Linked DNA regions of Drosophila melanogaster. The protein of the gene in region 1 interacts with the protein of each later gene in a pairwise test. Each region holds a gene or a part of one and is shown in the gene's direction. Other genes may lie near its edges.

What was found.
Region 2: the proteins of Ptp4E (region 1) and FucT6 interact in a two-hybrid assay, tested with the Drosophila melanogaster proteins (one large-scale study listed by BioGRID).

What each region holds. Positions count from the first base shown.
Region 1 is NC_004354.4:4,937,249-4,942,306, forward strand, and holds the start of Ptp4E (protein tyrosine phosphatase 4E), read left to right. Parts: upstream 1-1,879; 5' UTR 1,880-1,952; exon of another isoform or gene 1,953-2,056; intron 2,057-2,188; exon of another isoform or gene 2,189-2,284; intron 2,285-2,332; exon of another isoform or gene 2,333-2,427; intron 2,428-3,173; 5' UTR 3,174-3,398; coding exon 3,399-3,599; intron 3,600-5,058.
Region 2 is NC_004354.4:11,705,799-11,711,875, reverse strand, and holds FucT6 (alpha1,6-fucosyltransferase), read left to right. Parts: upstream 1-1,924; 5' UTR 1,925-2,428; coding exon 2,429-2,673; intron 2,674-3,081; coding exon 3,082-3,631; intron 3,632-3,740; coding exon 3,741-4,165; intron 4,166-4,230; coding exon 4,231-4,870; 3' UTR 4,871-5,301; downstream 5,302-6,077. Other genes in the region: amun, read left to right, coding at 1-366. UniProt on the Drosophila melanogaster protein: Catalyzes the addition of fucose in alpha 1-6 linkage to the first GlcNAc residue, next to the peptide chains in N-glycans. The addition is prevented if the GlcNAc residue is already fucosylated.

The sequences.
Region 1 (5,058 bases):
ACTTGCAAAACAACAACGAGCGAAATTGAGCGTGAAAACAGAGGAAACGCGAGGATAGATATTGTATAAAAACATGCGTATTTAACAGCGGCTGACCTTGTTTTCATTTGCGCCTAACAAGCTACGGAAAGTGAAAGACTTTGATTGGAATTCTCATAAGAATGTGAAACAGGTTTCGCTCTCATAACGGTATCTGCATACACATACACACACACACACACAGATGAGCCGTAATAGCCAGGCAAAAACAAGAAAAAGCCGGAAAAAGAAAGTAAAAAGGCAGAAAATGTTTAGTTTATATTTCTAGAGCGAGAAAGAGAGAGAGAGAGATATGGGGACGTAGAGAGCGACTGTTAAGTAATACATTTGCAGAGAAAGCGCGCGCAAAAGACACAAGAAAAAAAAACACATTTGCATGTATTGTGTGCTACTTATTGATGGCGTTATTTTCTGGTGTTTTTCGCACAATTGCCGCAGTTTCTGAACGCTGCTTTTGACATTGGAAGAGTTCAAGCGGCTTTTTTTTTACGAATTCGATTTAAACTCATTTTCGATCTGCGAAGGTCAACAGCAAAACAAAATGAAGCCGACTGCACGCACACCAAGGCAATATTTACACAGATACATTCACCACAGTTGTATGTTGCTTGTGTTGCTCCTTAAATATGTTACATATTTAACATATATGATATGTTGTGACAATCAAATAGTACTTGCAATCTTTACCTTGGTTGAGCCGCTCGATTTTACAACTGTTATTTATCACACTTTATTTTCAGTTTAAAATGCACTTTTTCGCTTCCTTTTCACTTTTGATTGCTACTGACATCAACTTGACGTTCTGCTAGTGACTGTATGTTAGCTCCTAACAGCTTCGGCAATTTATCGATTAGTGCTGTTAACGCTACAGCTACCTAACAGAATTAAAGAAATATATTAAATTTAACAAAAATACTGAATACAGCTAGCTGGTCATACTCCTGTTTTACATTTTATTTAATTTACGAATACGTTTAATTTAAATTTTGTTGATATATAATTTAATAAATTTTTTGGTCTCAAAACGTCTTAGCTAACCCCACACAAAACCACTTCGAGATTATTCTGAGGTTCTACGAAAAAAAACTTGTTATATATACAGAGATATATGTATTTTAAAACCAAATAAAAATGAACCTGTATATAATAATACCATAAGATAGCTACTTACTCTACGAGCTGTGAGCCTTGAGTGCCGGTGCTCATATAACTTTCTTAAGCTTGCTTGATATAATTTTCATATTGCATATCTAAAAAAAAATAAAAAAATAATTATAAAATTTTTGTAAAAAGTTCAGTAAAAACAGTTTAATTCACTTATTACCTGGTATTTCCTTCTCTGCAAATATAAACGAATTTTAGATATTTTCAAATTTGTTTGAGTTGGTGTGTTCTGTTTATTATGAAAACATGGATACATTTTTAACAAGTGCTCAAAATATTATTTTATTTACTAAATATATCAATATATAAAATAAATTGTATTTTCTATTAGAAGACTAGTAATAAAAATGACAAAGTTATAATAATACCATTGGAAATAATTACCAAATTGCAATTTTTGAAATTGCAAAGTGTGACTGCACGAATACTTGTTGAATATCAACTGCATGAATTAAATTTCGCTTTCCGAATCAACGAAACATCAAATTTGGTCAAACATGAGCAAAACATGTCATATAATATTAACAATATATTCTTTAAGAAATTTAACAATTTTAAATAAATTATGAGTGACCCTGTGTTGTGTAAAATATGTGGTATTTATTCAGTATTTTTGGGTTTTTTTTTCTGTTTTTCGGCAGCACTGCGCGGCGGTCACGCCTTTGTATTGTATTTATATTCATTCGTTAAGCGACGGTCGTCCAAAAAGGCAGAAAATGTGGAAATTCATTGATGAACAGTGGTGAAAAGTGCGTGCAGTCATTCGCTTCAATTTGTCGTGGCCGATTCCTTTTCGCAACCAATTTTTCTTATTTTTTTTCTTGTCAGTAACAAGTTGTCGGTCAATAAAAGTGTCAGTTTATTTTCTGCATAATAACGGTTACTAAAGCCTAAATTTTTTGTTTGTGACTTCTTTTTTTTTAAACAAATGCGCCGACGCGCCAGAAGTTTATATTCTGTTTTTATGTTTTCCGCTTAAAACGAAACGTGACTAGTTTGTTTTAAATTGGTGTGCAACGAAAACAAGAAGAAGCGGATGAAGAGGGTGGAGAGGAGAGGAAGCAGAAGAAAAAGAGCAACAGTCAAGTGAATTAGTTTTTTTTTCGTCCATGCCGTCGCTGCCAACGTCGACGCCGTTGCGCCGCCGCATTTAGTCATTGCATCAGTGTGTCCGAGTGTGTGTGTGGCAGAGAGAGCGAGTGGGAGAGCAAGGGTGGAGTAAAAGTAAATGCGTGCAATTAGCATTTAATGCAATCACCATTAACCGCCTACTATTGTAATTTATATTACCCTAGTACCTGTAATTTACACATACACCTACACACACACCTGCTCAGCTAGTGGTAGTGCAAATATGAAGTGCAAAAAGCGGCGGCAACAACAATTGTCTGTTAATTGCTGGATATTTCGTAATGCAGCAACAATAACAACGGTAGCAAACTGTAATGCCACAGTGAAGACTCGCTAATCGAAACTTTGTCGGGCATATTAACCAAATTCGTTATATGTTTGCATTGAATTTACATTTCATATATTAACTTCTAAATCTCGTTAGATTTACATGCTCGCGTGTTCAATAGCAGGGAGGGCCCACTGTACTTGTAGTGAAGCGCCGTTACAGCCACAAATGCGTGTGAGTGTGATTATGTATGCATGTGTGTCTGCATCAAATCACACACTTGCAGCGCTCATGCACACGCACTTGTACTTGTGCGTGGCTCACATTTCCATAGCCAGCCGCTTCCCCCTCCACGATCAGTGTTGCTCTTCACCTGCAGCTTTCGCTTCTGCTTCTTCTTCTCCCGCACGCATGTGCCGTTACAAATTCGCTTGGACATAAATCATTTTTCGTGCATTAGCCGGCGATTGTTAATGGAAATCGTATTAGAAAACAACAATTACAATGGGCCCACATCTGCCGCTCTCGCTCTCGATCGCGCTCATCATTGCTCTCCCGTTTCCCGTTACAGAGAGTGCAATACAAGTGCAATATTAATTAAGTAATAGAGGAAACGTAATATGCGTGTGCAATACAAACAAATGACCATGTAACGGCCAACAGAAATGTATATGCAATACAAACGTACATACATGTGTAAAACAATAAGCGCAAAACACCGCCCATCCCCGCTTGAAAAGTAAAACCAGCAATCTGCGAAACCTTCGACCATCATTGGGTTTTACTGTACTTGAAAATGGACTGTGCCACGCGAAAACAACAACAATTACGGGCACATCATCAGCAGCAACAAATACAAATACAAACACATGGACGAAAGCGGCAGCAATTACAAAAACAACGCCACAACCACCACCACTACTACCAAAATTCACAACAACAACAAAAACATTTCGTGTGGCTTGTTGTTGGCATTTTGACAATTTTTTTGGCTCAGGTGAGTGAGAAAAAAAAATGAAGGAAAAGAAACAACAACAAAACATAGTGATAAAGATAAAGCGACAGGTAAACCCGCAAAGTTAGTTACCTCTATGATTTGGGGGAAATTCGTTGGGAAAATTCTGAGGACTCCTAATGGATGGCGCAGGGTTGTCAAAAATATTCATATTTTAACTAATTACAATGCAGATTTCATAGATTGGCCAGCAACACAGACAATTTGCTAATTATTTTGAAATGTTTTTTTCTGTTTTTATTGATTCTTTTTTTTTCGAAAATTACAAGCCAACTATTTTCCACATTTAGTGGCAGAAAATGTCTTAACTGGGTTTTTGATTCGCTGAGTGCGTTTTAGGAACTCGTTTGGCCGGTTCTAGTTGTGATTTTGGCTGGGTGTTATGTTATTTTAATATGAACTCGCTCAACCGCTCACTAAAATTGAACTAAAATTACGATAAATCCAGATTTCATATAAAATCGAATAGTGAGATACAAATATTTAATGTGTTCAATATTTCAAACCAGGTTTACTTGTTATCTGATCAAACTTCGGTAGTCAAACTATTGATTGCATAGCTCGAAATCTTTAAAGGCAATTTAGAAGCGCAAATTAGAAGTTTAGGCCCAAGTCAATTTGAAATGACACACACAGGTGATGAATCCGGTGATTAAATTTGATTTTGTTGGGTGATTTGTGGGCTTATTCCCGTGATTATTCCTTGTTTTATTGCCTGAGTTTTTTTTTTTACCTCGTTCACAAAACTCGTTTCATTTCGTTTCGTTTTGCATTGTTGTCGCATTGTTTCAGCGCAAACGAAAGACAATAAAAACAAAATCCCAACCATCGCAACGCAACAAGTAAAAAGTTAAAAAAAAAAAAAAAATGATGAAAACACTAAAAAGCGAACGCAAGTTAAAATCAAGGTTGGTTCTGATGACGCTGTCCATCGCAACTTCCTCACTCTGAAAAAATTTCAATACGCTTATCGAGCGATTCCCCGAGATAGCCCAGCATAGTCGTAAACTGTTTCTAAGCTTGAAATAATAAAAAATAAAAAAAACTATAGAAATCAAAGCCTTAATAAATAGATGGCAAAACTTGTATCTTTGCTGCTGCAGTTTGTGTATTCTTTGTATCTCAGATGATCACAACAACAATAAAGTTGTCCCTGATTTCGCAGTTTCTTTGGCCACAATAACTTGAATGCACTGCCGTCTTAGTTTTGTTTTTTTTTTTTCTTTCCACATGCTTCATATTCATAACTCACGTGTTTCTGGCACTGTGACTTTGGCTTTCATTTTATCTGGGCATTGCCGCGATTGCGGATCGCAGGTCATTACGTGCCGGCTTATCGCCCGAACTTGGAACTTGGCCGAAAGTATTCGTATTACTAAGCGTCCCAAACATACAAATGCGAAAATGTTTATAAAAAAAATAAAAAAAAATGCCAGCGAAG
Region 2 (6,077 bases), 6.8 Mb from region 1:
AAAGCGACTGCAGCACCAGCCAATGGAAATGGTAACGGGAACGGCGTCCTGGGCGACGAGGATGAGGATGAGGCGGAGGACGAGGAGGAAGATGAGCTGGACGAGGAGGAGGATAATGAGGCGGAGCTAGAGGCTGACGAGAGCAATAGCAGCAACGGCATTGTGAGGGACAGTAAACTGCAGCAGCTGGCGGCGAACAAGGCGGTGGATGCGGTTTCACCGGTAGCAGCGGGTGCAGACTCGGCACCAGCCATTGGACAGAAGCGTACTGCCCTGCACTGCGATATGGAGCTGAAGAACGCCGGCGGAGTGGGTGTGGGCGTGGGGGAGAAGTCACCGGATCTAAAGAAACTGCGCAGCGAATGAGGCGGAGGTGAGGAAACGAAATACGGATACGGATGCGGATGCGGGTCAGAAACGGGGATCGGTTCGGCTCGGCACGTTTCGGTTCGCCGCGTATCCGGTGGAAAGACATATGTATGTAGTGCAGTTGAGTCGACATAGAGACATAGAGCAACATTACCTACACTTTACCACAACAACATTCAAGAAATTCTACTATTAAGCAACTAACTATACATACATATAATATATTATATATATATATATATACACATATATATATATATATATACAACATATAACGAGATGCGAACACCCAACACACTCCACTCTCATACACACAACACAGACACACACAACCCGACATAACATGAACATAACCGATCAGATCAGAGCGGAATATAGGATCCCGATCCAGAAGGCAGTAAGCAGCACCACAAACAACATTTCAATAGCATAGAAAGCGCGCCAAGATGAAGAATCAGAAGAATCCGATCAAGAATCCGAAGAACAAGCAGCAGAATCAGCAGCAACAGAGAGTTCAGAATGCAGCGTTAACGTAATTTAACTAAAACGAAAAGCAAATGCATACATGAATAGTAACTACAAAACAAGATCAGATGGAAATCGATATTTTTACACAGTCAAAAGGAACATTTAAATATAAAGAAATTTACAAATGCCGCAGTTGCCCACTACATACAAAAAACAAAAAAAAAATATGAAAAATAAAAAGCGAAAGAAAACAAAATGATTAAGATGGAAACAACAATAATTATAATAAACAGAAACGTAATTTATATACATAGGTATTTAAATTTAATAATAAATCAAAACTTGTCGTATAAACCAAGCCCCCCACCACCAACTCCACCACCACCCCCTTCGACCGTCGACCCGCAGCAACTCGCGCTCTCTCTCTATCTCTCTCACTCAAAACACGCCGCACACAGAATACACCCCCTCCCCACACACATAAACACACAAACACTCGGAAGAAACAAAACAAAACAAAACTCATTTCAACACTAAGAAATTTTTGTGGTCGTAATTATAATAATATAATTTATATTATGTGTAAAACTTTTTTTTAACTTTACATATACTGAATTTTTTATAATTTATACGATAATCACGTTTCATTTGATTTCCAAAAGAGAAAAAAGAAGATACGGAAGCATACGGCCCGCATCTTAATTGCACCCGACGCAGGTCGTCCGATCTCCGCGTGGTTTGGGTTGCCGGTACCGGGTGGTTTCCCCGATATCCACGACCCATACCACTCGCAGATCGGTCGGAACTTTGAAAGTAACAACACATCTGAAAATTATAATCATTTTTATTATTAGTAGCATAAGTGCGAATAAAATGTGAAATATTAAGAAAACACGGCATAAAACTGAAAACATCCCACAATCATCTTCAATTGTTTTATCACTTCAATGGGGTTTTTGCATTTGGTGTTTGAATAGGCGTTACATCGAGAGCCGTTGGAACTAGTCATCGACTTATCGAAAATAATGTAATGGCTCGTCCGAATATGGCAACGCTCTTCAAGTGGGCAGATGTATCGATGTCTATGCATCGATAGCATGGTGTGCTAACAACACAGCTCTAGTGCTAATCAAAAGAAAACACAGAACAGGACGGAAATATATAGAATACTTTTGCACTTAATTTGACTTGCCACGACTACCTGGCCAACTCGATCGGCGATATAGACCACCGGCCCATCAGTCAATTTCATTCTGGCATTGATCGAGCTCCGTGAAACTTGCATTCCAGCTGGCCACCATCCCATACGTCCATATATCCTTTATAAAATATCTATAAATCGAAGAGGAATCCTAGCCCCGCCGACCATGTCATTGGATCGCCTTGGTTGCTGGCCGGATCGGAGTTAATTGAGACTATGCACCGGAATCGAAACAGCTCCGCATTGAAGTACACGTAGAGAGCATTTCCGAGTCCGCCCCCGTTCGGAGCCCCGTTCCTTGATCCCCTGGAAGATCGATTGTGGTCCCGGCGAGCGGAGGGCAGAATCCAGAGGAGGAGGAGGAGCAGGAGCAGCAGTGGAAACGCCGGCATGCTGCTGGTGCGTCAGCTATTCGGGGCTTCGGCCAACTCCTGGGCACGCGCCCTCATCATATTCGTACTGGCCTGGATCGGGTTGGTCTACGTGTTCGTGGTCAAGCTGACCAATACTCAGGGCCAGCAGGCGGCCGGGGAGAGTGAGCTGAACGCCCGTCGCATATCACAGGCGCTCCAGATGCTGGAGCACACGAGACAGCGCAATGAGGAGCTTAAACAGCTCATCGACGAGTTGATGAGGTAGGTGGCTGGAGCTGTGGGGATACAGCCGGGGGCAGCACAATAGCACAAAATATATCATTGTTAGCACTCGCCTGGAACCCCTTTTGGTCTTGCTATAAAGTAAACAAATGATTATACACGTTAATTGCGATTTTAAATACCGCCATAGCTGTGATATCAAAGAGATTAGCATCAATCAATAACCAGTTCTCGGTTTATGTAGAAATAAAGAAGCTTCAATAGTATTTGTATTAAATATAGCTTCCTGAAACATTGTACCATAGCAGTTACACTTTTGCGATCACCATAATGATGTTTTGTCAGCAGCCAGGCTAATTATTCATGGCACGTAGGCGGAATTACATGCGATAAGCTGCTTTGCTAACCTGAACCCCCATCTCCCTCTTTTTTTTTTTTATTTTCCAGTGACCAACTGGACAAGCAGAGCGCAATGAAACTGGTGCAAAGGCTGGAGAACGATGCGCTAAATCCAAAGCTGGCGCCCGAGGTCGCCGGCCCGGAACCAGAATCCATGTTCGAGTCCGCCCCCGCTGATCTGCGCGGTTGGAATAATGTGGCCGAGGGAGCGCCCAATGATCTGGAGGCCGGTGTTCCGGATCATGGCGAATTCGAGCCCAGCCTAGAGTACGAGTTCACGCGCAGACGCATCCAGACGAACATCGGTGAGATCTGGAATTTCTTCAGCAGTGAACTGGGCAAAGTGCGTAAGGCAGTGGCCGCCGGCCATGCGAGTGCCGATTTGGAGGAGTCCATTAACCAGGTGCTGCTCCAAGGCGCCGAGCACAAGCGCTCCCTGCTGAGCGATATGGAGCGGATGCGTCAGTCCGATGGCTACGAGGCCTGGCGACACAAGGAGGCACGGGATTTGAGCGATTTGGTACAGCGGCGCCTGCACCATCTACAGAATCCCAGTGATTGCCAGAATGCTCGCAAGCTGGTCTGTAAGCTCAACAAGGTGCGTTATATATTCTTATTATTCCTATTTCTTGAGCTAATCTTTCGGTTACTATAATGCCACCTTACTTGTCAGCCATTAATCTAATTCGTTATTCCTAAATCCCCAGGGCTGTGGCTACGGCTGCCAACTGCACCATGTGGTGTATTGCTTTATAGTGGCCTACGCCACCGAGCGGACGCTCATCTTAAAATCCCGCGGATGGCGGTATCACAAGGGCGGCTGGGAGGAGGTGTTCCAACCGGTGTCCAACAGCTGCCATGATGCGGGCACCGCCAACACATACAATTGGCCGGGCAAGCCGAACACCCAGGTGCTGGTGTTGCCCATCATTGACTCGCTGATGCCGAGACCGCCGTACCTGCCGCTCGCCGTTCCCGAGGATCTGGCGCCGAGACTTAAGCGTCTGCATGGAGACCCCATCGTTTGGTGGGTGGGTCAGTTCCTTAAGTATTTGCTCCGACCGCAACCAACGACGCGGGATTTTCTTACCTCTGGCATGCGCAATTTGGGTTGGGAGCGTCCCATTGTTGGGTAAGTGAACCAAGAGTCGATTTGTTCTTTTGAAAAAAATTAAATATTCGGGTTTTTTCTTACAGCGTTCATGTCCGTCGCACGGACAAAGTGGGCACAGAAGCGGCCTGCCACAGTGTGGAGGAGTATATGACCTATGTCGAGGACTACTACCGCACGCTGGAGGTAAACGGCAGCACTGTGGCTCGCCGGATTTTCCTCGCATCGGATGATGCCCAGGTTATTGAGGAGGCGCGCCGAAAGTACCCGCAGTACCAGATCATTGGTGATCCGGAGGTGGCGCGCATGGCGTCCGTATCCACACGATACACGGACACCGCCCTGAACGGGATCATTCTGGATATCCACCTGCTTTCCATGTCCGATCATCTGGTGTGCACCTTCTCGTCGCAGGTGTGTCGCGTGGCCTACGAGATAATGCAGACGATGTATCCGGATGCAGCGCATCGGTTCAAGTCGCTGGACGACATATACTACTACGGTGGCCAGAATGCGCACAATCGCCGCGTCGTTATCGCCCACAAGCCGCGCACGCACGAGGATCTACAGCTGCGTGTTGGTGACCTCGTCTCGGTGGCTGGTAACCATTGGGATGGCAATTCCAAGGGCAAGAATACCCGCACCAACCAGGGCGGCCTATTCCCCTCGTTCAAGGTGGAGGAGAAGGTGGACACCGCCAAGCTGCCTCTCTATGCGGGCATTTAGTTAGTTGCTCACATCACTACATTCTCGGCCATGTTGTTGATCGATCTGTAAATCCTATCTGCCGCATTCCACCTGGAATTTCCATGGTGCATATCGATTCGGCTCGGATCAGCATCACCAGAATCTATCGAATGTCCAGAATCTCAAATGAAATCTCGCTCTTTCTGTACTTGTCCATCAATATGTGACTATTTCTTCATGTTCTCGTCTGCGCACTTTTACGCTCTGATTTCGATTCCGAATCTTATTCTTATTCTTATTCTGCATTTGTACAAGTCTTTTAATAAGATGTAAGTCGAAAGCCGAAGAAATTATGTTGACAAGAATATACATAAAGATATTTATATATATAAATAAATTATATATAGAAGTGCATGTAGTTTCACTAAGCGCAATATAGTCTATCACCTGTAAAATAGTTGAAAGAAAACAAAAACAAAGATAAAAAACGAACGCAAAACAAAACTAAAACTGATAAATTCAAGCGTCATAGTAAAAGAAATAAATAGTAATGTTTTAAAAAGCAAATATTGAAAGCGATTTACCTTTTCTGCAACTCTGGGCTGTGGGCTTCGCTACCAGGCGAACAGAAATTTCAGAATGAGACCAACGATCTTTTGGAATTTCGTTTTCAGTATACACCTGCTATTTATTGTAATCGCCTGATGCAAAAAATCAATATATTTACCATAAAAATGTGCATTTTGTACAGACTGGCAGTTTGTTTTCTGCTACTGGTTATGATCGCCTGGTACGAAAAATCTAAAAATTTTCCTCAAAAATGTGTAATTCCTTATTCAAAATTGGAAATTCTAATTTTTTGTCGTTGAATTTCATCAGGCAGCTGGTTTTGAAAATCAATAATTTATTGATTTATTTATTTATTTTAGCGAAACTTTAAAAATTATGGTCCAAATATGGAATGTCATACATCGTTGAGCTCGTAATTGAATTCCGAAACAAACTGTTTTTAAAAATGTGAATTCTATTTTTTGGCCATTTTTTGCAAAATTATAAAAAAAATATAAAAAATTGCCAAAAGTTAATGGGATCGTTAGGATTGATAATAATCAGCTATTATAAAATTTTAGGATATCTTATGATGAAAAATCCAATTGCAAATATCAAATTTTGAACAAAATGCAAAACCTTGTCGATTTTAGCTTGTTATTCGTATGACTTACATCAATTACATTAGCCAGTGGGT